7 linked regions of the Sus scrofa genome follow. The protein of the gene in region 6 binds, or shares a complex with, the protein of the main gene of each other region. Links are inferred from orthologs where the notes say so. Each region holds a gene or a part of one and is shown on either strand. Other genes may lie near its edges.

Region 1 (5,015 bases), on a different chromosome or scaffold from region 6:
CTGCTTCTTATAATAGCTTGCCTCCCGAAAAGTTATTTGAAAACCCAGCCATCCTTTGCCACACATGTATCACCTGAGCTCGAAGATCATCTTGACCAGGGAGACGCCTAAAACCTAAAATAGTAAGTAAAACTATCCGTGAGGCAGCAGCGCCCATACGTTTGCCACACTATTGAAAAAGAAATTAAATGGTCACTAGAGGGACAAGAGAATGCTAGTTTTCCTCCAAAGCATTAGAGAAAACATAACACGGAAAAGCCACACAGGGCTCCAGGCTGACACATCACACACCTGCAGCTCCTCGTCAGTGAGGTTCTCGCCCAACTCCTTGGCCACGCGTTTTAGATTCTTGAACGATATCTTCCCAGTTTCATCGTCATCGAAGAGCTTGAAAGCTTTCAGGATTTCTTCTTTGGTATCCTTCTCAGACTTAACAAGTAGAACATAAAAAACACATGAGTAAAGAGACTCATAATTACCTGTGTCCCACAACCCTAGCACCATCCCCTCTGCCCTGCCACAACAGCACCACATGGCCTCATGACATTGGTGCTAGGTCACAGAAGATCAAAAATCAACCAGCGTAGAGAGAGGGGACAAACATGAAATTGGTACAATCCCAGAGGCTAAGAAGGAAATATAAAGGCTTGCACTTAAAACATTTTCTATACAAATGGAAGAGAAAAGTAGACTGCTTTTTAAAATACAGCAGCAGGAGTTCCCGTCGTGGCGCAGTGGTTAACGAATCCGACTAGGAACCATGAGGTTGCGGGTTCGGTCCCTGCCCTTGCTCAGTGGGTTAACGATCCGGCGTTGCCGTGAGCTGTGGTGTAGGTTGCAGACGCGGCTCGGATGCCACGTTGCTGTGGCTCTGGTGTAGGCCGGTGGCTACAGCTCCGATTCAACCCCTAGCCTGGGAACCTCCATATGCCGCGGGAGCGGCCCAAGAAATAGCAACAACAACAACAACAACAACAAAAGACAAAAAAATAAATAAATAAATAAAATACAGCAGCAGATGATGGGATTAAGTTTAGAGGAAATTCCACTGCTTAAGCTGGGATCCTCTTGGGGGCAGAGGGGAGCAGGGAGGAAAGAGAAGGCGATTTCACTTATGAGAGCACCAAGAGTTACTAGAATCCCAGGTACTCTGACAGAGGAAAAGAGGAAAAGCTTCCTGAACTCTTAACTTAGTCCCTGAAGAAAAATATGGGTGTGATTAGATGATTTCAAAGCAACAGGATTATTAGAGTGGGAAGAGACCTGTGCCTTGGGAAGCACAGCTGAAGCACTGATGGAGCTACTTTTCCACGGGCCAGTAGAATGTACATGAGCCACACTGAGGAGGAGCCAGGAGGCCAATGAAAGAGAAAGGGACCAATGGGTGAAAAGACACTTTCATATCTAGACTCAAATCTGTCCACCATTATTGGTGGAAAATACACCCATCATCTTAGCTAACCTACCATTTTCTGAGTCATCACAGTTAAAAAGTCACTGAAGTTCATTTTTCCTGTCCCTTCCTTATCGATTTCACTTATCATTTTCTTGATCTCTTCTTTCTTGGGTTCAAAGCCCAGTGCCCTCATTGCCACCTGCAATGAAAACAGGATCATCTCAATATGTACATCTAAACCCAGGGGCAAAAAATGACAGCATTGAGAGCATTAAGCCAGTATCTGACACAATCATGTTAAAATAATTAGGAAACACTATAACATTAAGCAAATTGATATTTGCACTCAATTTTGTTTAATAATACTTGAGGTAAATAAAGACAGAAAAACAGCACAGAAGAGAAAGAGGCAGAGAAAAGTCAAGGCAGCAGAGCAGGAATGTACAGGGCTTGCCTTAAGTTCTTTAACATCTATTGTCCCAGTTCCATCAGCATCAAAGAGATCAAAAGCTTCTCGGATTTCCTGTTTCTGCTCTTCAGTAAGCTCTGGTTTAGGGCTCATCCTTTTTCGCTGGGCAGCAGATGCCACGTTTGTCTTCTTAAAGTTAGAGGCCTTTATATGTTTCACAAACAGAGAAGCACGGTATTATGTAATAGGGTACATATTTTACATAAATATGTTACAATCCTATCTACTTTTAAAATAGTTTATACCAACGAATTCCAAAACTAACAGGAGAAATAACAGCGTTTAGTGAAAAGAGCAAATACTCTTTCTCTGCACCTCTATCCCTCCCTCTTCTTTACTACTGTTTCTAGAAGGAGATCCTTTGTTCTTTTGGATATCTCTTATTTGAAATCATCTAAAAAGAGAGCTGGCCAAGGAGCTGACTCTGGATAAATGTACAGATAATCAGCTCTCTCTGAATTTGGGACCCTAAATCTAAAAATGTCCTTAGAACGCTATTCTGCTTCGCTCTAAGTTATAAGATTTTCTGATTACTTCTAATTTGGCCAAATACTAAGTTAAGATGTATATTCTGTCAATATCGAATAATAAAACTCAATCCCCTCGGCACATCTGAGCCTTCCCCAAGAAGGTCAAAGCGTTTCCGAAGTCCCAATATTTAACATTTTAAATGCACATTAACAATCAAACACAATAAACTTCCCCTAGGCTCTGGGTAGAAACTTTGGTAGAGGCGGCCAGGAGGCCAGAGTCTGGAAGTGGTCGGGGTGTGCGAAGAGCCCGAGTCTGTTTTGACCAGAGGTGGTCACCGAAGGAGCCAGGGGAGCCCGAAGGACGGATAGGGGCCAGCTGTGGCTTGAATGGGACGCAGCGGCTAATCGCAGGCCCAGCAGGGCGGCCAGGATCTCTACCCTACCCTTCCGGGAAGCGCTCAGAGGAAAGAGTGCGCCAAAGCCGAGAACCGCGCAGGAGAGACGGCGGGGCCAGGCCAAGGCCTGTGAAGGGCTCAGCTTCTGGACACAGGGTTCGAAAGGGTAACAAGCACTCACCATCGCCGATGGACTCCGCTTCCCGTTGTTACGGCAACGGACGTACACACCGACTCGGCGCCCTTCCCACCGCCCCCTGCGCGCGGCCTTGCACCCCATTGGAGGACAGATGACTGCAGCTCCCCATTGGCACAGTGCTGGAGTGGGTGGGACTAACCCGACGGAGGCCTGACGCAGGGCGCAGGGCATTGTGGCGCGGCCTGGCCTTATTGGGCAGGATTACACCGCGAGCGCTGATTGGCCGAGCCAGCACCAATCCCTTTGGTGGAGGCGCCTCGGCTGATAGTAGCCTCATAAGGGTGGGGAGAAACAGGTGGTTGCTGGCGCCTGGAGCTCTGAGGCTGTAGGCTACCGATGCGCTGAGGCCGGCCAGGGAGGCACCTACCAACAGGTAAGGGTTGCGACCTCGCTCTTGGGTTGGCGATAGGACTGGAAAGGCAAGGAATTGGGTGGGGCCTTTCGCGGGGCTCGAAAAGGTAACAAGCCCTCACCCGGTCGGGGACTTTCTGGTCTGGACTAAGACTGAGTTAGGGTCAGAGGGGCCAGAGAAGACCGTGACCTTGCGTGTTGGAGCAGAGGATGTATTTACGGGGCAACTGAGACGGAGAAGGAAAGGCAGAGGCCGGGCGTTATCACAGAAATTCGGACGTCTGGGACTTAGAAGCTGAATTCATCCACCTGAGGCTCTTTCTTTGGGCGTGTCCGTCCCACCCCAAATAGATAACAAGATAGGATCACTTTAGTTCTCACCTGGCTAAAAGCAGCTCGGGAAGATGAGCTGGGGGCCTAGGAACGGCCTTTGAAGGGAGTGAAGGAGATTTGAGTGAGCATAAAGGGGACAGATCATCAAAATATACTCATTTTGACAACCAAACACTCAAGGCGGATAGTGAGGAGTATTCCAGGTGGGGACACTTCATGAGCAAAGTCACAGAGCCGTTTTGGAAAGGTGAGGCTTGCTCAGAGAATTACAAGGGGGCGTGTGCCACGGTAACAGATGAAAGGGAGCTGGAACAGTGGCCCTGGAAGTCCAAGGTCTGCCTTCCTTAGCCAGCCCAGTGTAAGGGCACTTCTTGCCTCTCAGCCCTTACCTGCTTCACCTCTGGGCATTGGCACAGCATTTTGGGAAGCAGGGGACAGAGCATAAGTTTCTCAGGCTGAAGAAAGCCTGAGATTTATTGACATTCATTAAGCGAAAATGTTTGCCGAACTTCTGCCCTTTACCCTCTTCCTCTTTGAGCACAAGCCGAGTCCAAAACCTTTTGGTCCTATTTGACTCTTCCTGCCCTGGCCCCACTAACTAGCCTCCACTTTCTGTCAGCTTCCTCCTTAAAGGGTGTTTCTTTTCTCTTTTCCACCTCTGTTGCTCCTGTCCCACTTCACGCCTTCAGCAGCAGCCCCCCTGTGGGTACAAGCCAGAGCTCTCACCATGCTCTGCAAGGCCCATCCCAACATGCTTCCTCCTCTCCCCTGGCTGCTCCAGCCCCAGGACACTAGCTTCCTTGATGGACTCAAATGCACGGACACACTCCTGCCTTCAAACTTTTGTTCCAACCATCTCTTCTGCCTGTTTGTTCTACTTGTTTCCTTCTTCCAGGTCTTTGCTCCACTGTCACCTTCTCAGTGAGCCACCCTAAGCATCCTATTTAGCCCTGCATCTCCCAGAACACCCAAACCCTACACCTTTCTCTGTTTTTATCCCCTAGTACTTATAACTGTATCCTTATTTATTTTGTTCTTCTTTGCCCATCCACTAGAAGGGAAGCCATATGGGTGCAGGCATCTTTGTTTTGTTCACTGCTGGCATTCCAGGACCTTGATCAGTGAAGGGTACATATTAGGTCCTCACTAAATCTTGGTTGAACAACTGGTGAGTAGCCCCCCTGTTCCCCGCTTCTCCCCTATCTAGTCCACGCTGCTTCATCAGGGTAATCTTCCTATTGAGCAGTTCTCATCAGAGGTTCCCCATGACTACAGACCAAAGTCCAGACTTAGCCTGGCATCTGAGCCTCCTGCACTAGTAGTTTTGCCCCTACTAGTCCTTCTCTCTTTGTGTCCTTCTACACCCTACTTCCCAGCGAGTCTGCAGGGCGACAGAGTA
Region 2 (3,877 bases), on a different chromosome or scaffold from region 6:
TACAGACCAAATCCAGTTACCTAACCAGTTAATGAACAAGGAAGGATCACAGGCTTGCCTTACACACATAGTCAGCAGCAGGATCAAAACTTAATCTGGGCCTGTCTTTGAAAAGCCCTGAGCCCTGTCTAGGGCTGGTGAAATCAGAAACCTGATAATATAATATCAGAGCACAAAAAAACAAAAGGCTAGAGAAGTGAGCACAATGTGCGTTGATTAGCCAGCTGCCCAACAGAGAATGTGGCTCAATGAGTAACAATTCTCATCTGTTAGATCAACAACTCTTGCTATGATAAGATGGCATGCAGGGGAACACACTCCTTCCACATGCACTACGTGGATGAGAAGAATGGAAGTGCTTATCTTCTGGGCCAAGGAGCAAACGGAGAGAAAAAAATTCCTCCCACCACTGTTGGAATTGCAGCAATGAGTAGGAAGGTATGATGAAAGGGTGGTACAGAGAGGAGTATATAACAAGTTTGCCTGACGTAAACTTGCAAAAGTGGCTGCACACTTCTAGCAGCTGTCATGGAAAGAGAGAATGAGCTGTAAAGTTTGTTTCCTACAAAACTGTTACCTGGTCTGCATCTAGACAGAAAGTCCTTCAGTGGGACCCAAGAGGATGGCTCTGGCTGGACATACAGTGCGTCACACTCCTCACTATCTTCACAGGCAACACGGTGGCAAGGTTCCTCAGGCTGTTTCTTACGATAAACATCATAAGCCAAAGCATTACCCAGAAATGTCAAGTTAAAGCATTAAGTTTAATGCTTTAACTTTTAATGCATCCTTAAGAGGGGCAGACATGATGCAGCCCAAGTGTGCAGTCTGCAGTCAGAAAAACTCTTAAAATTATCTAGTTAAAAAATCACTGTTGCACATCATCAGGTCTATTCAGATTTTCCAGTGTTCTCAGATACAACATATTAGAGAATTCTGTATCCTAGATGACTCCTGAAGGAATTTTTATTTGCTACACCCTCATCAAAATATATCAGTGTTGATACATTTTCCTAGGAGGGAAAAGTCAGACTTAAAACCAGGATGAAACTGAGTTGTGATTATGATTTAGTACTTGTGTGGACATGAATGGTCATTCTCCAAGAGCCAAATAAAGCACCAGACAGAATTATATAAAAAGTAATTACAATCAACAATTTATTCATGTTTATCTTTTTTAGAAATAAAAAAGTTTAAAAAACAAAAAAGTTGAAAAATGATAAAACATAACTTTGTTATATCCTAATTGCTTAGGTGTGTTCTGTAAATTCCAAATAAGTAAAATAATATAAAAATATATTTTCAAATCTTTATAGAATGAAAAGAAAACCACATTAATCATTAAATACTTAGATTTTTCTTTGCTCCTCTTCCCACAGATGAATTCACAAATATAAAAACTGATGTACATTTACATTTTGAAGTACAAATCTCCAACAGCCAAATGATTATACAGTTTATTTTGTTATGTGCAAAGTTGATATTTCATATTTACTTGCCACGGAAAGCAGAGTTCAGGCTCAATGGAGAATAATCATTAAACACTGATTGTTTTGAATGATGCTGCTGTAAAAATGTACAATAGTACATATTTTTTGTAATTACATATTCTCTTAAAGTAATTACAGCTTTTAGATGTAAATCTTTCAAAGGCTATCTCTGAAGAGCAGTTAAATGACTCATTTCAGATTCGATGATTAATAATTTACCAGTAACCTTCTCAAAAACCAAGCCAGGAGAGAGGATTGGTTTTTTCCCCCCCTCCATGTGGTCAGTTTCATTCTTAAGGAAAGCTTGGTGTATAACAAGAAGATGTACGTCACAAACCTTAAACATGAGTTTGTGAACTGTCAACTGAAGACACCACTTCTGATGTGGAGGGTTTCATTCAATCCGTGTTCTACCAACTTGATATCTTCTAGGTCATCTTTTATGATGCTAATCAAGTGGCTAAGGCCTTCCTGTTGTTGTTTCAAATGCTAAAAGAAATTGAAATAGTAACATATCACTCCAGGCTACTCAGAGGAAAAAATTAGTTTTCACTATTTCACTAACAATACAGCACTTAGTATCTGCCCTAAAAATACGCATATTTAGACATTTGCACTGTATCATTTGCTAAGACTTTTATATGACCTACAGTAAAATACTATGGTGAAAAGCAATAAAATATATAATGAACAATATATGCAACAGAAATTTTACAAAAGACAGATGTTTATTAGATTCCTTTTACCAACCTCTGACTAAAAAAGATACGTTAAAACAATGTAGGAAGATACTCAAATGTGGATGACGAACAGAATAATCGTCCTGAAAACTGAGGATTTCCATGTTTTGAAGTACAAAGCGATGATAACAGTGATAACTACCAACTGCTAATATTTTGAAGCATCCTTCCCAGATGTTAAGGCAGCTGTAAGAGCTTCATGGGCATTAACAAACTTATTTAAAATCCCTTTGCAGAGTTCGTCACGGCTCAGTGATTAATGAACCCAACTAGTACCCAAGGAGACACAGGTTCAAACCCTGGCCTCGCTCGGTGGGTTAAGGATCTGGCGTTGCTGTGAGCTGTGGTGTAGGTCGCAGATGCGGCTGGGATCCCACGTTGCTGTGGCAGTGGTGCAGGCCGGCAGCTGTAGTTCCGATTGGACCTCTAGCCTGGGAACCTCCATATGCCGCAGGTGCGGCCCTAAGAAGACAAACGAAATAAAATCCCTTTGAGCACGCACCCTTTGGGGGGGTGGGTACCATCATTACCTCTTCTCTACAGATAAACTGAGAAACAGGTAACCTGCTCAAGGTCATAAACTAAGTGATGAGCCATGATTCAACCCAAAACAATATACTGCTTTTCGTCATTTTAGGTAGGTGTTTATATTATTCCCAGTTTTACTGCATACATAAACACTTTCATATAGTTCTTGACTCCAGTGTGCTGGAATCTATTTTACTGTAAATAACCTTTTTTTGCTGTTTTTTAGGGCCATGCGCATGGTATATGGAGGTTCCCAGGCTTGGGGTTGAATCAGCTGTAGCTTCCAGCCTACACCACAGCCACAGCAATGCAGGATCCAAGCTACTTCTGTGGTCTACACCAGAGCTCACAGCAACGCCAGATCGTGAGCAAGATCAGGGATTGAAACTGCAGCCTCATGGTTCCTTGTCGGATTCGTCTCCACTGCACCATGAGGGGAGCTCCTACTGTAAATATTTACAATGGAATATAATCGAATGTACGCATACTTTTAAAGAACCCAGGAGCCAACTAGTTTTTAGCTGCATAAAATGGGAATATTCATTCTAAGAAACGTAATAAAATCAGATTTGTTGATGACATCTATAGCCACCTAAAATCCTCAGGGCCATGCCAACCAGCCATGCCAATTAGTGGCACCTAACAAATTCCACAAAGTTTACCATCTTAATATATTTTTTTAGACACAGGTGATGGCTGGACAGCATTTACTAAACCAGTGTATAGATTTATACCAATGAAAACATGCTAGAAAAGTACTTACTCGCTTTTCCATAGAAAGTGAATTTTAGACAAGCAGCTGCAGGTTTTGCCTACCCTAGCCTCCACCCAGGTCCCCGAGGGCTGACAAGATCAGTAACTCTATGTAGTTATAATTTGTATGTGGCATCGTATAAGTGGGAAAGATGGGATAGAAGGAAATTATTTCTCAAACTCCAATGTGCATACAAATCACTGTGATCTTGAAAAATTTGATTAAGAAGGTCTGGAGTGAGGATAGATTCTGCATTCCTTTTGCGCGCGCGCGCGCGTGTGTGTGTGTGTGTGTGTGTGTGTGTGTGTGTGTGCTTTTTAGGGCCGCCCCCAAGGCATATGGAGGTTCCCACGCTAGGGGTCCAA
Region 3 (4,500 bases), on a different chromosome or scaffold from region 6:
ACCTCTCTAACATCTACCATCCACCCTCCATCAACAAACAACAAGACATTGTACATTTTCTCCTTCACATCAGCAGTGAGGGCATCCAAGTGCCCTTTCCAAATTCCGTAATCCATCTGCAGAACAAACATAAGGCAGACATATGATGGACTAAAGCCAATACAAATAATACATTTGTACACACAGGAATACATACATATGGAACATCATTCTAAAGAGTTGACATTCAGTAAGCTAAATACAAAAATAAACACCAACAGACTGCAGTTAAATAAAACACTCAAAACGTTAATCATGTAAATGAACACTTGTGTCACCTGAAGGTATGTTTCATGTTTGGTTAATTATCGACAGAAAAGTAAGTAAACAGATGGCTTTTTTTCAAAGTAGAACAGTAAAAAAGGAAGATCATCGATTACAATAGGAATATAACTACTAAAGAACTGATCTCTTTAAATACATAACATGTATTTTTGAGATGCAATAGACATGTCTCATCTCCATTCAACTTACTTCGTATTTCTTTTCTTTGTGTTCATGAGCCACTTTCTCAGTAAAAGTTGCTTGAGGTATCAAAGTAGGTTTTTGTGGAGCTGAATTCATATGCTTAAACCACTCATTAAAGGTTTCATGGGCTTCCTAAAATGCAAAATAGAAAAATACAAAAAAAGAAAACTTTTCACATATGTTTAAAACAAAGCTTTTAAAAAACAGGTCCTAGAAATAATTTTGCAGCACCAAGAAATAAAATCGTTTAATATTTCTTTTTTTATGCAAAAAACCATGGTGAATAATTGTTTTGTTTGTGATGTCCACATGTTTACTTGCTGTCTTCTTGAGGAGCCTGTTAACTTCTAGAGGGCAAGGACAGAAAGCCATCCAGACTTAGTCCTAGACCCTAGTCAATATGATCACCTCATTGTTTGTTGAATGAATTTTGAATGAGTATGTTGTTATTCAAACTCATAGTATGTTACGTAGTCATAATATAGAATATTTTACTTTTCTGTTATTGCCAAAAGCAGAACTGTTAAAGTTGAGATAAGCATCCAAAGAATCTTAAGAAAACATCCAGGAGTTCCCGTCATGGCTCAGACGAAACGAATCTGATTAGTATTCATGAGGAAGCAGGTCTGATCCCTGGCCTCGCTCAGTGGGTTAAGGATCCCGTGTTGCCTTGAGCTGTGGTATAGGTTGCAGATGGCTCGGATCTGATGTGGCTGTGGCTGTGGCATAGGTCAGCGTCTATAGCTCCAATTTGACCCCTGCCTGGCCTGGGAACCTCCATATGCCGTGAGTGTGGCCCTAAAGACAAAAAAAAAAAAAAAAAAAAAAGTAAAAAGAAAACATCTACTTCAGACATCACACACACTATCTACCATGTGAGATGTCTTGGTTGGTTAGCACTGATTAGGGACTCCTATAAATGAAGACCAGGTCATGATTTCAAAGTCCTTGTGGATGAGTCAATCCCACAGTGGGAGATAAGAAAATGAGTTAATTGCCACTTCTGGGAGCTCCCCCTGTGGCTCATCGGTAATGAACCCAACTAGTATCCATGAGGATGCGAGTTCGATCCCTGGCCTCGTTCAGTGGGTTAAGGATATGGTGCTGCTGTGAGTTGTTGTGTAGGTCGCCGAAGTGGTGCTTGGATCTGGCATTGCTGTGACTGTGGTGTAGGCCAAAGCTACAGCTCCAATTCAACCCCTAGCCCAGGAACTTCCATATACTGCAGGTGCAGCCTTAAAAAACAAAAAAAAATCGCCACTTCTGGAAAAACAGTTCAGAGTCTGAGAATGAATAAGAACAGTCAAGGTAAAGGCACTGTGCAGTTTTTCTTTACAATCTCACCAAGTAAGCTCTAATGCACAAATGTTCTCGGATGGCGTTATCATCTTCAGCAGGAAGTGGGCTCTCCATTCCTTGTTCCTCCCATTGATTATAGATTTCTGCTATTGAATCCTGAGGAATTTTCACGAATACTTCTTTTGCAGCTTCGTGTTTTTTTGATGCTATGAAAAAGACGATTCGCCAATATATATGGATTTCTGTTAAATGGTTTCTAACGGAGTCAAATCATTGGTTTGCAACTTTCACAGTGACCTGTAACCACTCCAGGTCCCGAGGTACCTCGGTTAAAGATCTGAGTGATCTTTCTACTGAATGGCTGGGCTTTTTCCTTATTTCGATGCAACCATCACAAAAAGATTCATTAATTGTAGTTACTTTTACATACTATTCTGTATCTTAAAAAAAAATTAATTCCATTTTCAAAGCCTTGAGGTTTTAGAGGCAAAACTGAATAGGACATGAAAATTCACTATTAAATATGTTTTGTTTCATAGTACCAAGTTTAATATATGAGTGGCTGTTTTGTACTTTACCCTAAAACAGAAAACAAAGTTCAAGAACAAAACAAAAACTTGAAAAAAAAAAATATATATATACACAAATACAGCATACCTAAGAATTTCCTCATTATCGCATTGCCTTGTTTTAGTGCTTCCGCTCTCTGTGCTGGGTCAAATACCAACCAGTCAATTACATCAATTTTTAAACGGTCCTCCTATTCATTTAATTGGAAAAAAGAAATGTCAACTTTGTTTTTTCTAAGGTATCTTGCAAATTAGTAGAAATAACTTATATGCTCACTTCTAGTGAATATTTTCCCTCAAGTTACATAAAATTATGAAGAATATAGCTTTTCTTATTTTCACATTTATTTTTATTTTTACATTTAATAGCAGCCTATCAAATTACAGAAAAAACTTATTGGACTGTGAATCTGTAATTATATATTCAATGCACCACCAACTTAACCATGTGATTTCTTTAGGTGCTACTCTAAATTTTTTTTCTTTCTGAAATAAAACTTTCTATTATTTTCTGAAAATAGGAATAAAGTAAGCTACATAAAAGTTAGGGATGCATTCAAGTATCTAGAAAAGTCTGATGAGCAAAAATCTAATGCTCAGCTATTTTCTATTAAAGAAACTTCCTTTAACATACTACTACTACTAAGCAATTCCTTACATATGCTCTTAAGCTTGCTGCCAATTTTTACAACTTGGCTGACACAGCAAAATTCTTCAAAAAAGAAAGAAGCCAGAGCATTTTAAGGGTAGAAGTTGACAAAGGAATAACATGAGGGATTATTGCAGGATATAGAACACATACCCCCAGAGTTCCCGTCATGGCTCAGTGGTTAACGAATCTGATTAGGAACCATGAGGTTGCGGGTTCGATCCCTGGAACTCGCTCAGTGGGTTAAGGATCCGGCGTTGCCGTGAGCTGTGGTGTAGGTTGCAGACGTGGCTCAGATCCCCTGTTGCTGTGGCTCTGGTGCAGGCTGGTGGCTACAGCTCCGATTCGACCCCTAGCCTGGGAACCTCCATATGCCGCAGGAATGGCCCAAGAAAATGGCAAAAAGACAAAAAAAAACAAACAAAAAAAAAACAAAACACCACACACTCCCTTCCCCGCGTATTACCTCTGTAGTGCCAGTATCTAGGGCTGGGGCCAGGTCATGATGACTGAATTCACCATTATCTTTCTTTCGAGTATTCTCAACTACAGTTTTTGTTATAGTTGCAATATCCAAATCTAAAGAATTTTTTGAGGAGACAAAAATCAAGAATTAATTGTTCACACATTATTCTCTAAATGGTTACAATGATTTGGTAAATTTGGGATAACAATTCTTTAAAAATGTCACATGTAAAACGAAAGACATTCTGGCATTATGAAATTCCAAAATTAAAAGACATGTTATACTTCAGTGACAGTAGAAGTTATTTCATTGCTAAAACAGAATTTTATTGAAAAACTCATTCCTTTTTTTTTCTCTTAAGAGAAATAAGATTTAAAACTAGAATGATAAATGTCACTAGAGTCAAATGATAATTTGTCTATAAAGCCCAACAGATGAGGTTCTCAACCATTTTTACCTGCTTCTTTAGCCAGCTCCAGGCAATGGTGGCGCTGTTCAAATTCTGTAACACCTTCCAAAAATAGTGCATACTGGGCAACAGCTAGGTCTTGAGGCAAATGACAGGTATAAAATGCTATGAGATCTGTATGCTTCTCATTTATTAAAAGCTAAAAAGCAGAAAGAGATCAAAGTGTGTCAAAAATAAAACAAGTTCTAGGATCAGCAGTGCTTTTTAAAAAGTTCATTTCAAAATTTCATATGTATTTTAGAGAGTCATACAGACACAGATTTGTGCTGCTAAACACAATTAATTTTAAATTTCAAAAGAAAGTACTTATGATAATTAAAAGATCTCTTATGGATTCTGATGACTTTCCTGCCACTGGATATTAAAATATTATCATTCTGAAGTTTACCTGTATGTATGTCTTTAAAACCTCAATGGAAACTTCTTCCTTCATAGGAAAAAAAGAAAGATATAATTCCATTATAAACACAATTGCTTACATATACCAACAAATACATCTAATAAAAATTCTGCTATAATGATTTTTAATATTTACCATTGA
Region 4 (4,500 bases), on a different chromosome or scaffold from region 6:
CTGTGACCTACACCACAGCTCACGGCAACGCTGGATCCTTCACACACTGAACAAGGCCAGGGATCAAACCTGCTACCTCGTGGTTACTAGTCGGATTCATTTCCGCTTCACCACAACAGGAACTCCAAGCCACATTTTAAATACTTGGTGGTCTTGTGTGGCAGGTGTGTACCAAAGTGAGATCCAGTACCGAAGGTTTCTACAGCAACAGCTACATCTAACCCAGACAAACTGTCTCACTGGTCAAGTGTGCATCCTCGTTCACAGAGGAAACAGGCCCCAAATGTGGCTATCTCCACTGCCACACAATTCAAGATCCACAGACCATGAATCAAAAGAGGGCAGCGAACACACCTGCCTTATTTATGACTGCTTTCTTAGCATCTGTACAGTGCCTGGTCGACAAAAGCTGCTCGAGAGATGTTTGTGGTAGAGTGAAAAAATGAATCCCTTAGATGAAAACAGCAAGTAAAAGAACAGAATGCAGTTCTTACTGGGGAAAAGATGTCCCTCTCAATCCTCGTCTCTGCTCCCTGTGTGGCCTAGAACGTGGCAGCCCACCCATTTGCTTCCCCCTCCCCTCACCCATTCAGGGGACCGCCACCACATCAGTGCTCTGTAGTACAAAAGCAGCACGGGTTCTAAGACCATTCACTCAGACTTACCCAATCCGATCCACAAAAGGATCCATGGACTCATCCACCAGGTGCCTGTTAGTCTGCCTACTACCAAATCCTTGCTCTTTAAACATCTTGGTTAATACCAATAGGTCACTAGGTGCCATCTCAAAGTACGCATAATAAAGGAAAATAATTTCTAGCAGCATGGACTGTTCCCGAAGGCACTGAACAAACCAGCGAGACACCTGGCGCTCGGTCTGCACAACCAATGAAGAAAAATGGGAGAGAAATAAAGTCAAGTTTTAAAACACATTTAAATGTATTCTTGTTAATGAGGTAACACACGCACAAAACTAAGGTAAAAAAAGTATCCTTACAATTCCTATGGCTCAGTCATTCGAATCTCTACCCAGAGGCAAGCACTGTTAGAGGTTTTTGTCTTTCCTTCCGATAATATGCCATACACATTCATTCATTCAGACTAGTGGTTGATGGGGGCCGAGGTCACAAACTGACTGCAGACTTGCTGGGTAGAGAGAAGTGTTCTCTGTAGTGACTGTGCAGTGGTGACTGCATGTAACTACACACAACTGCCAAAAGGCAGACTGTACACTTAAAATGAATGCCTTTTACTGGATGTAAACTGTACCTGAACAAACCTAGGGGACGCTACAGATCTGTTAATAACACAGGTCACTTAATGTGAGTGTGAATGCGTTTAGAGGATAAACTCTTAAGCGGAACTACTATGTCAAGAAATTATGTGCTTTTCAATTTTTAAATACTGTCATAATGTTTTACATTAAAAAATATATGTGAATTCGGAGCTCCTGTTGTGGCTCAGCAAGTTAAGAACCCAACTAGTATCCATGAGGATGCAGGTTCGATCCCTGGCCTCGCTCAGTGGGTAAAGGATCTGGCATGGCTGCAAGCTGCAGCATAGGTCAGCAGCTGCAGCTCAAATCTACCCTTAGCCTGGGAACGTCCACATGTGCAGATGCAGCCCTAAAAAGTAAAAAAAAAAAAAAAATTCATAGAGCAAAATATGTCTATTATCTTACCCCTTGCATGCTGTCATGTGAATGTGTTCATCGCATTTGCCTGTTTTTCTGTTGGGTTTTGCTTATTGATTTACAAGAGCTCTTTCTATTTTAAGAACCCATTGTGCTACCAGTTTGTCTTTTTTTTTTTTTTTTTTCTTTTATTAGCACCACACGTGAAGCATATGAAGTTCCCAGAATAGGGATCAAATCAGAGCTGTGGCACCCGGCCTACACCACAGCCACAGCAACACAGGATCCAAGCCGGTTCTGCAACCTACATCACAGCTCATGGCAACACCGGATCCTTAACCCACTGAGTGAGGCCAGGGATTGAACCTGTATCCTCATGGATACTAGTTGGGTTCAAAATCCTGAGCCACAACAGAAACTTCAACTGTGTATTTTGACTTTGTTTATAGCACTATTTTTGGTCTTCTGTCTTGTAATTTTTTTTTTTTTTGTCTTTTTGCCATTTCTTGGGGTGCTCCCCCAACATATGGAAGTTCCCAGGCTAGGGGTTGAATCGGAGCTGTAGCCGCCAGCCTACGCCAGAGCCACAGCAATGCGGGACCCAAACCGCATGTGCAACCTACACCACAGCTCATGGCAACGCCGGATCCTTAACCCACTGAGCAAGGCCAGGGATCAAACCCGCAACCTCATGGTTCCTAGTTGAATTTGTTAACCACTGTGCCACGATGGGAACTCCTGTTTTTGATTTTTTTTAAATTCAATTTAATTTTATTTTTACAGCTGCACTTGTGGCAGATGGAATTTCCTGGGCTGGGGGTTCAAGTGGAGCTGCAGCTGCAGCCTACTCCATAGCCAGGGCAACATGGATCCGAGATGCATCTGTGACCTATACTGTGCTGTGGCCACTGAGCAAGGCCCACTGAGCAAGGCCAGGGACCGAACCCATATCCTCATGGACACTATGTCGGGTTCTTAACCCGCTGAACCACAATGGGAACACCAGTATTTTCAATATCATGTTGGTGGGTTTTTCATTTCTTTCCCCTTTATGGCTTCTAAGTTTTACTTCAAAAACTCTTCTCCATGCCAAAAAAAATAAAATCAAGACCACCTCTCATGTTTCTTCTAGTACTTTTATAGTTGAATTTTTAAAATTTAAATCACTGTTATCTCTTGTGATTTTCTTCGGACAGAAGAAATGAGATAGAGATACACTTTAACTGTTCCCCAGAGGGCTACCCAGCAGTTCCAGCACCATTTACTGACTGGCCCAACATCTCCTGACTGATTCAAAACGCCACCTTTATCATCCACCAATCCGCTATCAGCATTTGGGCAACACCACCCTTTCTACCAGGTACTATTCATCAGTCTCTTCATGCAGCAAGGCCATGCTTTAACATACTGTAGCCTTATTATCTAATTTTCCTTTCTCAAAAATTTCCTGGCTATTCTTACTTATTTTCAAATGAATTTTAGAACCAGCTTTGCATAGTTCCATAATAAAAAGCAATTACTTATTAACATTTTCCGAGGATCACACTAAAATATCACTATTTTATAGGTTAAAATAAGCAGTACTGACACTTTCACGGTGCTGAGTCTTTTACATTCGTGATTGGCACGTGGCACGTCTTTCCATTTGGTTATGACTTCTTTTTATACCCGTTTAACATTTTAAAGTTCCCTTCATTTAGATTTTGGATAGTCCTGAGTTTATTCCTAAGAAATGTATGCTTTTGTTGTATTTTAAGTAGATCCTTTTCTTCTACGAACATTTTTTAAAAAGGTCATGTTCCAATCTATAAATGCAAACTGGTTTAAGATTAAGGATACAAAAATTAGACTACTGTCACACACTTAACAGATAATGGTAAAAAAGAAAATGAGGCGTCCCTGTTGCGGCTTAGTGGGTTAAGAACCTGACTGGTATCCAAGAGAATGCGGGTTCAATCACTGGCCTTGCTCAGTGGGTTAAGGATCTGCTGCCTCTGTGAGCTGGAGTGTAGCCTGAAGATGGCTCAGATCCCAGCTTGCTGTGGCTGTGGCACAGGCCAGCAGCTGCAGCTCCAATTCGACCCCTAACCTGGTAACTTCCATATACCACATGTGTGGCCCAAAAAAAAAAAAAAAAAAAGATGAGATCTTGGTTTAAGAATTCCATTAACCACTAAGAGACTATTTTAAGCAGGAACAAAAAGTTGATCAACTGGATTAACAAAGTCAAGGGGAATGGTCCAAATAAAAGACCATTAGTTAAAGTCAGTATTTTTATTCACACATGTTTAAACTTTTCTAAAGAATGATAACCTATAAATGCTTTAATTAATAAGTGAATAAATAATTTAACTTAGAGTCCTATGAGCAAGGATGTACAAATCCCCAATAACCACATACCATGAGGTTTCCATGTGTCTCCCATGTTGGTGCTTCGGTTTTATAAAGCTCTTCAAACTGCTGTCTATATTTTGTAACTAGCTCTTTTTCCAATTTATCAACACAGTCTGCATATTCAACCTTATTAAAAAACAAAACAAAACATAACTTATACCTGGAATAAAAGGTAAATATTTATATGAATATAAATATGAATAAATTATTAAAAGGATTAAATTTTAAAAGAGAACCAAGAGGACTAAATGGGCTTACCCTATAGGGGTGTCTTTCATCTTGGAAATAAGTGAGCAGGTGTAAAACACAACGAAGAATACATGTCCTTTCTTCATAGTAATAATCTGCAATCTGGGGAGAACCAAAGATTCAAAATCTGTACTCATTTTTTCACAGAAGATATTCAATTTTAAATTTACTCATGAAATCATATAAAGATGTGAATGGAAAAGTTCCAATTACATAAGCAATTA
Region 5 (3,233 bases), on a different chromosome or scaffold from region 6:
CAAATTTATCTCCATAAATGGACCGTCCTCCCGATCCATCATGTTTGGTGATGTCTCCCCCCTGAAAAGAGATTTCAATTAACAAGAATCCCAAAGACACTGTTAAAATGCATAAAGAACTAACCACTGAAGGACAGGTGTTAAACACCCAGCTTCGCTGCGAACCTAAGCTTTGTTAGTTTGAAAACTGAGCACCGTGCATTTATGAAGGAGGATAAAAATGGAAGAGATCTTTTCCCACCTCAATTTCTGGCAGGTTCAAGGCATTTAGAAATATGAACCCTTTTAGACTGAATGTTCTGCTGGGACAGAAGCTGGGGTAGGGACACCAACTGCTGTGTGGAAAAGGGAAGGAAGTCTGGAAAAACTGAGAAACACTCAAGTTGCCCAGGTAGGTGTGCTGTCCCTTTCTAGACCCCCACTGTGAGGTGCACTGAAGACTTACTTGGCAAACAAAATCTGGGATCACTCTGTGGAAGATGGAGTGCTTGTAACCGAAGCCCTTCTCTCCAGTGCACAGTGCTCTGAAGTTCTCAGCGGTCTGAGGAACAACGTTTGAAAATAATTCCATGGTTATGCGTCCTAGAGGTTGATCATCTGCACAAACATCAAAAAACACCACAGGATTTGTCTCCTTTGATAACTCTGCTGTTAGTGATGTTTGTCCTTTCTGATGTTTCAACAAATTCTGTTGACATTCTTCAAAGGTTTTCTTAAAACAATCAGCCATTTCTTTAGTTTTAAATCTCACTGCAAGCTGTTCCACTTTGGCTTCTCCATCTATCAAACAACAACAAACAAAACAGTGGTCTTAGTGTTGCGCTAAGTGTTATACACATTGTTCTATGTATTTGTTCTCAATTGTGGGAAAGTCTGAGTGCAGAGCTCACCAGCATAGTCTGAGGCAGTCCAAACTAAAGCATTGTTGGAGACATTCAAGGGTTTCAATTCCATGGTTTTGGTGATGACATGATTTGCACACACTTTAAAGACCTGGTCCCTGCGCATGAGGATCCGATAGTAACTCTTCATCGTGTGCCAGAGGATCTTTATGTCTCCGACCCCACGCTCCTTCCACTGACTGACCTCTCGATCCCACCTGTAAAGTTTGGCTCGCTCTTTAAATAAAACTTCTTCATCTTCTTCTCCAGATTTTACTTCTACCTAAGATAAGAGATGACAAACTATAAGCTGCTGCTTATAAAACATCCCACAACAAATTCCAAAGATTCACATTCCTTTAGATACTGACAGGAACAGAATTTGAAAACAGTTAACACCTTAGGGCTACAAATGCATGCGATTTGAATGAGGCAGGAAAGACCTGATTTGTCATGAAATATTTTCCTCTTACACAGCATTCTTCCTCCTTTTAGAAATTAATACAGTATTTTGCAGGAGAGAGGATATTTCAAAACATGCTTATTCTTCAAGAGAAATATTATCTACTGATTGAAGTTGAAATTTATAAAAGTAACTAACCAAAAACAACATTCTTGTTAAAAAGAAAACAAAAGTTACTTTTTAATGAAGGGACTGTGGCAAATCTAAGATTAGTTTTTTTGTTTTTGTTTTTGCCCCTAGAATTATGTTATGAAAACAGACAAAACAAGTAAGTTCTTCCCTACAATTTCATATAGGATAAAATGTTACCAATATTATGTTTATATATAAATTTTTTCAAAGAGACAATTTAAGCTTAAAGGCTGAACTTCTAATATAGAACTTCCATTTGAGGTGGGCAGTGTTCTGAAACAATGCAAAACAAGGCCAGCCCTACAAATCAAGTTTTAAACGTCAAACGTGAAATTACTAGTACAGCTTTCATTGCTTAATATTCACCTCTGGTAATGACACTATTGGTTCAAAGTGGATGTCTTCATTGTGAACCACCTCTTCGTCACTGCCATCTTCGTCTTCGCCACCTCTGCTGGTCGACTGTGCTCTGAACACAGCTGCTCCAGTATTTGCCCACTGGAAATTCTTATCTGACGGACAAAGTAGCATATTTAAACAGTCCGAGTCCGTTTCAGTAAGCTTTTGATCCCCCTATTAGATTACTTTATCCATGAATCTAACTGCCGACGATGTGACATGCTTCTAGTAACAACGTGTGAAAGTGTATTCTTCTGGCAGGTTAAACTCAGGTGGCGAGCACACGGCACGGCACGGCCAGGAACGTCTGCCTGGACGGGCAGCACGGGGTCCTCTGAGCCTTAGGTCACCTTCACAATATTAAACACCACAAGGACTTTCAGTAATGAACTCAAAGTACACACCGTGAAACTGTGAACACCTGGTTCAGCCTCCAGGGGTAGATTATTTCATAAAACAGTCTATCACATGAAAACAATAACTCTTGAACCTAGAAATGTTCTCAAAGAGGCCAAATCTGCTACTTTCAAATGAGCCAAAGTGGACTAGGCCCATGTGTGTAACTTCTCCACTTCAACTTCTTCCTCAGGGAACTAGAGCTGGAGCTCAGACTGCCTGGCCAGGTGGTACTGGCAGCCTTGGGAGAAGCTCACCGACTCCAGCCCTTGAGGAGAAAAGGCTCCCCATCATCGCCACATGAGGAATAAAGACTTTTACTCTCCCTCACACCCTGGAGAGGGTGAAAACCAAGCTCCCCCATCCCCATCTCAAGTGAAGGTGACCCAACCTGCTAATCCACTGCCCACACTCTGAGAGGAAATACACCTCTCAGCTTTTCATCAATGGCTGAGCCACCACACTGCCTTAGAGAAACATGCAGCTGATGCTAAAAACTCGAGAGAAGGCAAAACTGTCACTGAGCAGTTAAAAACTCAGCACCTTGAAGAAAGAACAAAATGACAGATTCAAACAGTAACTCCCAAGCCAGGTTTAATAAGGAGGGGAAAAAAAGAGAAAAAAAGAAAAAAAATTCTTAAGAAGGTCCGGCAAAAGAATGTTCTGAAAAGAGAAAAGCACGAGCTCAGGTTATGTGGGAGTTTCCCTTAAGAACAGCAGCCACAGGATGGGGCTTAAAAATAACTGGGTTTGGAGTTCCCGTAGTGGCTCAGGGGAAGTGAATCCAACTAGTATCCACGAGGACGCAGGTTCGATCCCTGGCCTCAATCAGTGTAATAAGGATTCTCATTGTCATGAGCTGTGGTGTAGTTCGCACACACGGCTTGGGTCCGGCACTGTTATAGCTGTGGTATAAACCAACATGTGCAGTTCTGATTCTACCCCTAGCTGGGAACCTCCAT
Region 6 (4,500 bases):
GAGCAAGCGTATTCAGCTTGGCTTTCTTTTCTTGAGCCAGCGGAGAGAGACCCAGCACCCTATCTCTGAAATACAGAGGGTCTGCTGCACACTCATGACAACCCCCGCTGGGCAATTCAGAGCTAGAAGGAGTGTCGACAGGGAGTGCTGAATGGCAGGGGCCCTACCAGTGAGAGAGACAATGGTTAGGGCACAAGGGCACAGCCACAAACACCTCGGTGGCCAAATCCAACTAGGGAGGAGGTGGCAAAGAAACCCAGGCACAAAGCAGAGGCGTCAGCAGCCAGGAAGGACCCGGACTCACAAAGATTAACCGAGCAGAGCTGGGTGGAAAATAAAGGATCAAAGGGCCTTCCTAAGGTTTAAGGGTGGTAGTGCTGGGTGAGAAAATCAGAACGCTGAGAGAAAACACAGAGCCTAAGGAGAATTGTTGAATCACATTAGGGACCAGGATCCTGACCCAAGGCATCATGGCCTAATAGTCATGTCTCTGTACTGAGGGACAAAGAGCAGAGAGAGAAGAAGAAAAGCCTAGCCATGTTCCGGGCTCCCACTCACCCTGATTTTATATCAGTGTAGAAACAGTTCTGGTAGAGAAGTGTTTCTGAAAACAGGATAACACCTCTCAGACTTGCTCAACCTTGTAAATTATACCAGCTACAGAGCACTTAGCTTGAGGACTACCTGAAACACGCGATCAGCTGACTTCAGGGGATTGTAAAGGCCCCTCTGTGCTGCTGCCGCCTTACCTCTGCTCCAGGTACCCCAAGGCCTGCCTGACGAACTCCATGCGCACCTCCACGCTGTTACGGCTCTTCAGGGCGTCGGTTGCCGGCGCCAAAAGCACATCTGTCATTTGTTTTACCATGGCCCACATGTCAGAGATGTTCTGCACATAAACAAGACCGCGTGTGACATGGCTGCAGGGTGGGGAAACTGGTTCTTCAAGGTGTTCTGACTCAAAGGCAGGCAGGATGTGGAGGGGACTGGTCAATGTCCTGAGACCCTCAGGCTCAGGTCCAGTACAAAAGACCCACCTCTGCCCCGCCAGATACTAGGCTCCCGTCTTCCTACTGGCAGCCCCTGTTTGCGGGTTGGTTTTCAGATTAATTACTATACCAGGTCTGACATACCCACGTACATAATTAAGACCACACAAAAGTAACAAAAACACTGAATCTCAGTGGGTTATCCCTTAAGAAGAGTGAATACATTTATAATCATCCAAAGATCTAGGAGTTGAAACTCAAGTAGCTGCATTTCAGTCCTTACAAGGTCATATGAGTTTTTTAAGGCTTAAAATAAGAGTTTAACCTACATAATACAGGTTTTGTCCTCCCAGAGACTCTCCAGGGGCCACCGCTGCTATCCCATTTTGTGAGTGTCACGGCCTCCCATTTTTCTGCCTACTCACTCCTTTCAAAAGACGCCTCCCACGCGGCCGCCTAGGAAAGGCATGGGCGTTCTCTCCTGTGTGTTAGCACCACACAGCTGGACCCCCTCTTCTCCCAGAATCCTCCTGGCTATAAACCTCTCCTTAGAAACGTGTTCCCTGAACCCTCTGCTTACAAAGTTAAGAAGAATCCTTGGAAGACAGCGGCGATTAGACAAAAGCATGTTTACACTGTTTCCAAAGGAAAAGAAAAAAAACCCCCTTTTTATTGTCTCTCTCAAAAATTAAAAAACTGTAGAAAATCCACCTAAATGACTCTTTCTAGGTGGTAAGATGGTAGATAAATTCTTACTTTCTCCTTTAGATCAGTTTATATTGCCTTATACTTTACTACTTAAAAAAAATAGTTAGGAATTCCCATTGGGGCTCAGTGGGTTAAGGATGCAGTGCTGCTGCACGCTGCAGCAGAGGTAGCAGATACGGCTTGATCTGGCATTGCTGTGGTGAGGCTGGCAGCTGCAGACATAGCTCCAATTTGACGCCTAGCCTGGGAACTTCCATACGCCGCAGGTGCGGCATATGGAAGACAAAAAAAAAAAAAAAAAAAAAAAAAAAAGTTGGATAAATTTTTAAAGAGAAAAAAGTGTGTATGAGTGCCTGCTTCTGTTATAGCCTTCCCTCCTTTTCCCATCCTGGCCACCTATCAATCTATTCATCCACTTTAAAAAAATTTTCTCCCCTAGGGGGAGAAAATTGGCCAAGGATAAGAACTGAGGGACAGGAATAAAGATGAAGAGCCAGAGAAGAATGGAGACAGTGGCATAAGAATAATGCTTGTAAAGACCCCACCTGAGTCAAGTTCAAGGGGCTCACTGGGCCTATTAAAGATGCATTTAAAATACATAAATTTGGAGTTCCCATTGTGGCTCAGGGGGTTACGAACCCGACTAGTATCCATGAGGATGCAAGTTCAATCTCTGGCCTTGCATGGCGGGTTAAGGATCTGGTGCTGCCGTGAGCTGTGGTGTAGGCTGGCAGCTATAGCTCCAATTCGACCCCTAGCCTGGGAACCTCCATATGCTGTACCTGTAGCCCTAAAAATAAATATATGTGTGTGTGTGTGTATAGCATCATCATCAAAAACCATCCCAAAATAGTAAAATAAACCTTTGAAGAGCAGTTAACATCTTATTCCATGGCGCAGAGCCTCTCTTAGCATTATTTCTGCAAAGTTGGCAAGCGCTAATCCCATCAGAACACCAGATCACATGGGTCTACTCAGGTCAGCTCTGGGCACTACCTTATCATCCAGCTCTGCGACAGAGGCACAGAGGTCCACGAGATTAGGCTGCAGGTGTCCATTTACAATCTTCTCATTATAGATATAAATCTGAAATGAAAAGCAAAGTAAATGCCACAGATTTTATTTTCATCCCTTCTTTTTAGAATACCTTGAAGCAGTTCTGAAACCAGCTTTTCTGCCCAATGGTCAGCAGAAGCGTTAGCCAACCTTTCTTGTCTCAGAGTAGCTGGGTAGCCTCACTGCCTGGAGGGTAAGGCCTCTGGCTGGCTTCCAGTTCTGTGTCTGAGCTTTGAGCAACAGCATGAACACACACCAAAGTTAACTGTGACCCAAGTTTTCCTAACACCGAGGAATGGGAGGAGGGTGGAGCCGGGGGAGGAGTACCACCGGCAGGACTGTGCTGCTCTGCCCAGTACACCCTCAGTCCTAGTGAGCAAGGACCAAAGGGGGAAGATGGGACGATGGAAGGTCTCCTGCTACTGCTTCCCATGAATCCGAGGCAAAGTTTGGTAAATCTTTCTGGCAAAAGGACTGAAAGAAAGGCCCCAGGCCCAGGGTTTGTGGAATGAATAAGGAGTGAAGGGTCGGAGCCTTCCACATGTGTTAGAAGAGCAGCTGCTGCATATTTGGGGTACCTGTTTCTCTAGGAAAGAATCCCAGTTCTCTAGTACAATCTTGTCAAGAAAAAGGAATATAGGGAGTTCCCATCGTGGCTCAGTGGTTAATGAATCCGACTAGGAACCATGAGGTTGCGGGTTCGATCCCTGGACTCACTCAGTGGGTTAGGGATCTGGTGTTGCCATGAGCTGTGGCGTAGGTCACAGATGCGGCTCGGATCCCGCATCCCGCTGTTGGCTGTGGCGTCGTGGCTCCTCTGGCATAGGCCAGCAGGTACAGCTCCGATTAGACCCTTAGCCTGGGAACCTCCGTATGCCACAGGAGCGGCCCTAGAAAAGGCAAAAAGACAAAAAAAAAAAAAAGGAATATAGGATGTTTATAGTATGGAAAAGCCATTATTACTCTGCATTTTATTTTAAAAGAACCAATATCATGATGGTAACAACTAGTACGTTCTAGTCTTTGCATGTGAAGTGCTTGTTCTACCGAGGTCTGAACAAGGTAGGGATGTCACACAAATCAGGACTCCATCAAACCTTACTTCCCTCTACTTTTTTTTAATGGCTGCACTTGCTGCATGTGGAAGTTCCCAGGCTAGGGGTCGAACTGGAGCTGCAACTGCCAGTCAACACCACAGCCACAGCAACACCAGATTCTAGCCACATTTGCGACCTGCACCACAGTGTGCGGCAACCATGCAGCAACGCCGGATGCTTAACACACTGAGGGAGGCCAGGGATCGAACCCACATCCTCACAGAAACAATGTCAGGTCTAACCCACGGGAACTTACTAAAAAATGTTTTTTAAACCATAAGGTGTTTATCCGCTCAACAAGCATCTACAAGGGGCCTTCCCTTGGGTACTATGTTCAATATGGGATATAAACATCCACTCTCCACTGGAAGGGACAGCCAAGTAAACAGATACATGATATTACAGTGTCTTTAGTTTTACAAAGCTTTCATCTTCACAGACACAGAAGATACCATAGTCTCCCTCCTCAGAAGCTTATAATTTCATTAAGCCTAAACTCTGGAGGTGCCTGTGGCAATGGAATAAGTAAACCATATAATGAAAGGGAAATTTTTAAAAATCTGAAAGTACATTTTTTTAAAATGTGGGAGAAACAAAGAGATTTAAAAATTGGAGAAGTAAATAAATCAAGGCACAGTCATAAAACATGA
Region 7 (4,500 bases), on a different chromosome or scaffold from region 6:
GGATTTGTTACTGTTGAGCCACAATGGGAACTCCAGTAAGAGACTGTTCTTACTAAAGGAAACACATATGCAGGTGTTTATGGAGAAAGGAAAACAGTGTCTCCAACTTACTTTCAAGTTATTCCCAAAAAAGCCTGACTGAGAAATGAGGCCAGATATGTAACTGGTGAGTCTGGGTAAAGAGTATAGGGGAATTCCTTACTTCTTATACTATTTTCATAACTTTTCTCTAAGTTTGAAATTACCGGAAGATAAAATGTTACCAAAAAATATGCCTTGGGAGTTCGGTCGTGGCGCAGTGGTTAACGAACCTGACTAGGAACCATGAGGACGCAGGTGCAATTCCCTGGCCTCGCTCAGTGGGTTAAGGATCTGGCGTTGCCCTGAGCTGTGGTGTAGGTCACAGACATGGCTCGGATCTGGTGTTGCTGTGGTGTAGGCCGGCAGCTACAGCTCTGATTTGACCCCGAGCCTGGGAACCTCCATATGCTGTGGGTACGGCCCTATAAAGACAAACAACACAAAAATATGTGCTTTGCAGAGACTGGCACACGGGTCTATGTGTTTTGGCCTGGAGAAGTCTAGAACCATCCCTCCAATCTCTGTAACGGCCCACTTGTGCTGAAGGTCCAGGGGCCAGAGGCCAGACTCACCCAGGAACGTCAGTCGATCACTGAGCATCATGGCTGGCCCCAGGTTGTCAATGAGATCGAGGTCGGAAAAGCAGCCTCGCTCACAGTAATCCCTGAGGAACCTGCAAGGAAGGCCCGGCCTGGAGATGAGAGCAGCAGTCCCGGGCTCACCTCCTCAGCCTCCCACCTTGCCAGACAGCACCCAGGGAGGGCACACCGGTTGAGCCTACCTGTCTGACACCAGCGTGGCAAAGGCAGCATCTTTGGCTCGAATGCTCCAAGAGAGGGCGGAGCCCAGGCGATTGTTGCGGACAGCTTTCATGGCTAAGATCTTACAAATGCTGCGAACTTTGCAGGGAAAAGAGAAAAGGCACACCTCTCACCCTGTCAGTCGCTCCATTCCTGAACCCCACTGGGACAGGAGCGGCCTTCCCACCTCCTGAACTAGGCTTCTCTATGGGCTCTCCACGTACAGCTTGGCCAGCAGAACTAGGAACTCGAGGGTTCATAAATTCTCTAATTGGCTTTGTTAACAGTAGGACCCACCCTGGAAGGACTGGCTTTGCGAGGGGGCTTCATTTCAGGGGTGGCACAAAGATGTGTCCTGCTCCCCACAGATCAGCGCCTCCTTGATCTGTCCAGGTACTCCAAGCCCTCTCCTCTTCTGGGTCCTGAATGCCATGTGCTTTCACAGAGAGTCATGAACATGCAGTGCCTCCTCCAGGAAGGCAGCTTAGGTTTCTACCAGTCACTCCGCAGCAAGGGGAAGAGAAGGAGCAACCATCCTCGCTCCCCCCGCCACCCCGGCTCTTCCTGAGCCAGCTCCAGTCCCACTTCCCTACCCAGCCAGCCTTAGCCAGAGCCACCCACTGGGACAGGACAACCCACAGCTGCTCCCGTCTGACCTCTGGTGAAAGCATGAGAGAAGAAGTGACTCAGAACCTTTATAAAGGCAACGTCCTCCACTACTTCCCATCGGACCCCTAGCTCTCTGTCCCTCCCCAGTAGTGTGCTGGGTTTTCGTTTACCTCCTGGCACCTGCTGCCCAGACGCTCTTCAGTCCGGGCAGCACGGCATGAGCACAGAGGTACGCCGGGCAGAGAAGCCACTCACCTTGCTCCGTCATCTGCCGCTGCTCGCAAACCCGCAGCACCTTGAGGGCTTTCTGCTCCGTGCTCAGCGGGATCCGCTCGATATGCAGCTCCAACGAAACTCGGCCCAGCTCAGGGCAGTGGTCAAAGTAATCCACCCCCAGCTGCCACAGGCTGCACAGGTCCAAGGACAGACATGAGGGCCTGGCAAGCCCAGACGCTGCCCTGGGGCTTGGGAATGCGCACTCAAGGCAGCTTCTGCTCCAAACCCTGCAGCCTTCGGGGAACCAGACAGGAGAGAACAGAGTCCAAGCCCCCTCCCCGCCCCCCTGCCCCGACCCCCGGCAGCCACATGCTGAGGAGCACCCACTGCCAGCATACCTGTGATGGGCAAACAGGCCTGAGGCATATTCCAGCAGGAGGAACTCTCTCATGTTGGACCCGAAGCTGGAATAAAACGTAACATGAGACCAAACTCCTGGGCTGCTCTATCCAGGGCCCCCTGTGACAGCCCAACCTCCCTTCCAGGCATTCGGGTACCCCCACACCCAAGGGTCTGGGTGGCAGCGAGAAGAGTGTTGGCCCCAGCATACTTACTAGAGGTTGTGAGACTGGAGGAGTTTGCAGTGATCCAGCAGGTCTGTCAGGTGGGCCACAAACCACCAGTTGCTGAGGGCAATGCTACAAGTTCAAACACCAAGGTAAGGGGCAAAGTCAGGATGAGAGGCCACGGCCCACACGAGTGGAGCATAAGCAGGAATCCCGCATGGCCTCTTATGGGTTTAGGACGGGAGGGACAGCAACAAGCTGGAATCTGCCTGCAAGCTCAGAGAGGTCGCTGCATGCTAGGTAGGGACTAACAGTGGACACGGAGGAAGACATTCAACCCTCAAAACAAGAACCGATGATACCTGTCAGTGAAGAATATCACACAGAAAATGAAATAAAATCCAGGGATCCAATTAGATATAGAGGACGAAGATGCAGAATAATGTACAAGAAAAAGACCGAAAGACTAGTGGCTTTTGAGTTTCGATGAAACATGGAACTCAAAGGAATAGCTCTGTTTGCATTGCATTTGCTATTAACATTTCTCCTCATTGCAGTTTTCATTAGCATGCTTTATGAATACAACTACAGACATGTCACTTTAAAAACTCTTTCTTAATCAAAACCTAGAATCATGGGCGGCCCTTGTTAAAAATGACATTTTCTAGGGCCCGCTAAGGGTCTGATGAAGTTTTTCCATCACTATTTGTAAACTCTCTGGCATCATTTTGTGTGAAGCTTACCAATGCATTTACTGTCGTCAAGTGTGCATACATCATTTTGAGTTATATTTTTCATTTGTTACTTGGCACTGGCCTTTCTGTATCTGTATATAAATGTTTGACTATCATTCCCATCTTGGGAGAGGGAAAGGAAGCTTTCAATGTTTAAAACTTTTGCCTTGATCTTAAAGATAGAAGTACTATGATACTTCACCTGCTCCAGAATTCATTGTGGAATGTCATGACGGCCTTCCTAAAATTCTCTCATATATCAAATACAGCTCAACTTTTTCTTTTTTTTTTTATGGCCACACCTGTGGCATACGGCAGCTCGCAGGCCAGGGGTCAAATCAGAGCTGCAGTTGCCGGCCTATGCCATAGCCACAGCAGAATGGGTTCTGAGCCTCGTCTGCAACCTACACCACAGCTCACGATAATACTGGATCCTTAAGCCACTGAGTGGGGCCAGGGATGGAACCCACATCCTCAAGGATACTAGTCGGATTCATTACTGCTGAACCACAGTGGGAACTCCTGCTGCATTCCTTGATTGTGTCCTTTTTAGACAAGAGTCCCAATAAATATATCTCCTTATGACAGCCCCCCAACCAAACCCCAACTCACTGGATAATGTTGCTGTTAACCATTATAATTTCATCACACCTCCTTGATGTAGCAACAGTTTAACAGCTGAAAATATTATTTCATCAGTCAGGAGGTGATTTAATGGAAAAGGTATCATATGACTGGATCTCGAGACTGTCCTTTCAGTCACTTACCTCTGTGTCCCTTTCATCTATAAATGGAAGTAATTTTACCTCTTGGCTTACCTGGATTGTTTTCAAGAGAAATATGTGGTAAGATATAAATATATACAAGTGGTAAACTATAAACTGCTCTTAAAAGATTATTTTGGGGGAGTTCCTGCTGTGACTCAGGAGGTTAAGAACCCAACCAGTATCCCTAAGGATGTGTGTTCGATCCCTGGCCTCACTCAGTGGCTTAAAAGGATCTGGCCTTGCTTCGATGTAGGCTGCACACACGGCTCAGATCTGTTGTTGCTGTGGCTGTGGCACAGGCTGGCGGCTGCAGCTCTGATTTGACCCCTAGCCTGGGAACTTCCATATGCTATGGGTATGTCCCTAACAAAAACAAAAGAAATATATTATTTTTGAAAATTCTATTTTCTATATACATGTTAAAAGCATAGCTGTGTCCAAGGGAAAGCACTGCAAATTGGTTCAAATCCAGTCCTGCAGGAGTTCCTATTGTGGCTCAGCGGTAACAAACCCAACTAGCCATGAGGACGCGGGTTTGATCCCTGCCCTCACTCAGTGGCTTAGGAATATGGCGTTGGCCATGAGCTGTGGTGGCTCGGATCCTGTGTTGTGGCCTAGGCCGGCAGCTCCAATTCAACCCCTAGCCTGGGAACTTCTATATGCTGCACCTGCAGCCCTAAAAAAAAAAAAAAAAAAAAAAAACAGACCTGCTACTCAAGGACTGCCC

The links.
Region 1: NUP93 (region 6) and CETN2 share a complex: the UniProt entries of both Homo sapiens proteins name them as parts of the nuclear pore complex. The link is inferred for Sus scrofa from reciprocal best matches to the Homo sapiens genes NUP93 and CETN2.
Region 2: NUP93 (region 6) and NUP54 share a complex: the UniProt entries of both Homo sapiens proteins name them as parts of the p62 complex. The link is inferred for Sus scrofa from reciprocal best matches to the Homo sapiens genes NUP93 and NUP54.
Region 3: NUP93 (region 6) and NUP107 share a complex: the UniProt entries of both Homo sapiens proteins name them as parts of the nuclear pore complex. The link is inferred for Sus scrofa from reciprocal best matches to the Homo sapiens genes NUP93 and NUP107.
Region 4: NUP93 (region 6) and NUP188 share a complex: the UniProt entries of both Homo sapiens proteins name them as parts of the nuclear pore complex. The link is inferred for Sus scrofa from reciprocal best matches to the Homo sapiens genes NUP93 and NUP188.
Region 5: NUP93 (region 6) and E3 SUMO-protein ligase RanBP2 share a complex: the UniProt entries of both Homo sapiens proteins name them as parts of the nuclear pore complex. The link is inferred for Sus scrofa from reciprocal best matches to the Homo sapiens genes NUP93 and RANBP2.
Region 7: NUP93 (region 6) and NUP85 share a complex: the UniProt entries of both Homo sapiens proteins name them as parts of the nuclear pore complex. The link is inferred for Sus scrofa from reciprocal best matches to the Homo sapiens genes NUP93 and NUP85.

What each region holds. Positions count from the first base shown.
Region 1 is NC_010461.5:123,902,980-123,907,994, forward strand, and holds the start of CETN2 (centrin-2), read right to left. Parts: upstream 3,068-5,015; 5' UTR 3,014-3,067; coding exon 2,915-3,013; intron 2,010-2,914; coding exon 1,851-2,009; intron 1,596-1,850; coding exon 1,467-1,595; intron 430-1,466; coding exon 292-429; intron 1-291. UniProt on the Homo sapiens protein: Plays a fundamental role in microtubule organizing center structure and function. Required for centriole duplication and correct spindle formation. Has a role in regulating cytokinesis and genome stability via cooperation with CALM1 and CCP110.
Region 2 is NC_010450.4:71,795,785-71,799,661, forward strand, and holds the end of NUP54 (nucleoporin p54), read right to left. Parts: intron 1,980-3,877; coding exon 1,851-1,979; 3' UTR 1,134-1,850; downstream 1-1,133. UniProt on the Homo sapiens protein: Component of the nuclear pore complex, a complex required for the trafficking across the nuclear membrane.
Region 3 is NC_010447.5:33,030,824-33,035,323, reverse strand, and holds part of NUP107 (nuclear pore complex protein Nup107), read right to left. Parts: intron 4,387-4,500; coding exon 4,348-4,386; intron 4,099-4,347; coding exon 3,948-4,098; intron 3,604-3,947; coding exon 3,491-3,603; intron 2,567-3,490; coding exon 2,464-2,566; intron 2,013-2,463; coding exon 1,852-2,012; intron 640-1,851; coding exon 514-639; intron 117-513; coding exon 3-116; intron 1-2. UniProt on the Homo sapiens protein: Plays a role in the nuclear pore complex (NPC) assembly and/or maintenance. Required for the assembly of peripheral proteins into the NPC. May anchor NUP62 to the NPC. Involved in nephrogenesis.
Region 4 is NC_010443.5:269,275,865-269,280,364, reverse strand, and holds part of NUP188 (nucleoporin NUP188 homolog), read right to left. Parts: intron 4,379-4,500; coding exon 4,286-4,378; intron 4,154-4,285; coding exon 4,034-4,153; intron 878-4,033; coding exon 666-877; intron 1-665. UniProt on the Homo sapiens protein: Component of the nuclear pore complex (NPC), a complex required for the trafficking across the nuclear envelope. Required for proper protein transport into the nucleus.
Region 5 is NC_010445.4:47,532,496-47,535,728, forward strand, and holds part of E3 SUMO-protein ligase RanBP2, read right to left. Parts: intron 1,989-3,233; coding exon 1,843-1,988; intron 1,165-1,842; coding exon 891-1,164; intron 781-890; coding exon 446-780; intron 62-445; coding exon 1-61. UniProt on the Homo sapiens protein: E3 SUMO-protein ligase which facilitates SUMO1 and SUMO2 conjugation by UBE2I. Involved in transport factor (Ran-GTP, karyopherin)-mediated protein import via the F-G repeat-containing domain which acts as a docking site for substrates.
Region 6 is NC_010448.4:18,805,371-18,809,870, reverse strand, and holds part of NUP93 (nuclear pore complex protein Nup93), read right to left. Parts: intron 2,784-4,500; coding exon 2,694-2,783; intron 890-2,693; coding exon 750-889; intron 1-749. UniProt on the Homo sapiens protein: Plays a role in the nuclear pore complex (NPC) assembly and/or maintenance. May anchor nucleoporins, but not NUP153 and TPR, to the NPC. During renal development, regulates podocyte migration and proliferation through SMAD4 signaling.
Region 7 is NC_010454.4:6,075,697-6,080,196, forward strand, and holds part of NUP85 (nuclear pore complex protein Nup85), read right to left. Parts: intron 3,402-4,500; exon of another isoform or gene 2,577-3,401; intron 2,523-2,576; exon of another isoform or gene 2,490-2,522; intron 2,405-2,489; coding exon 2,321-2,404; intron 2,171-2,320; coding exon 2,105-2,170; intron 1,898-2,104; coding exon 1,746-1,897; intron 981-1,745; coding exon 863-980; intron 755-862; coding exon 654-754; intron 1-653. UniProt on the Homo sapiens protein: Essential component of the nuclear pore complex (NPC) that seems to be required for NPC assembly and maintenance. As part of the NPC Nup107-160 subcomplex plays a role in RNA export and in tethering NUP96/Nup98 and NUP153 to the nucleus.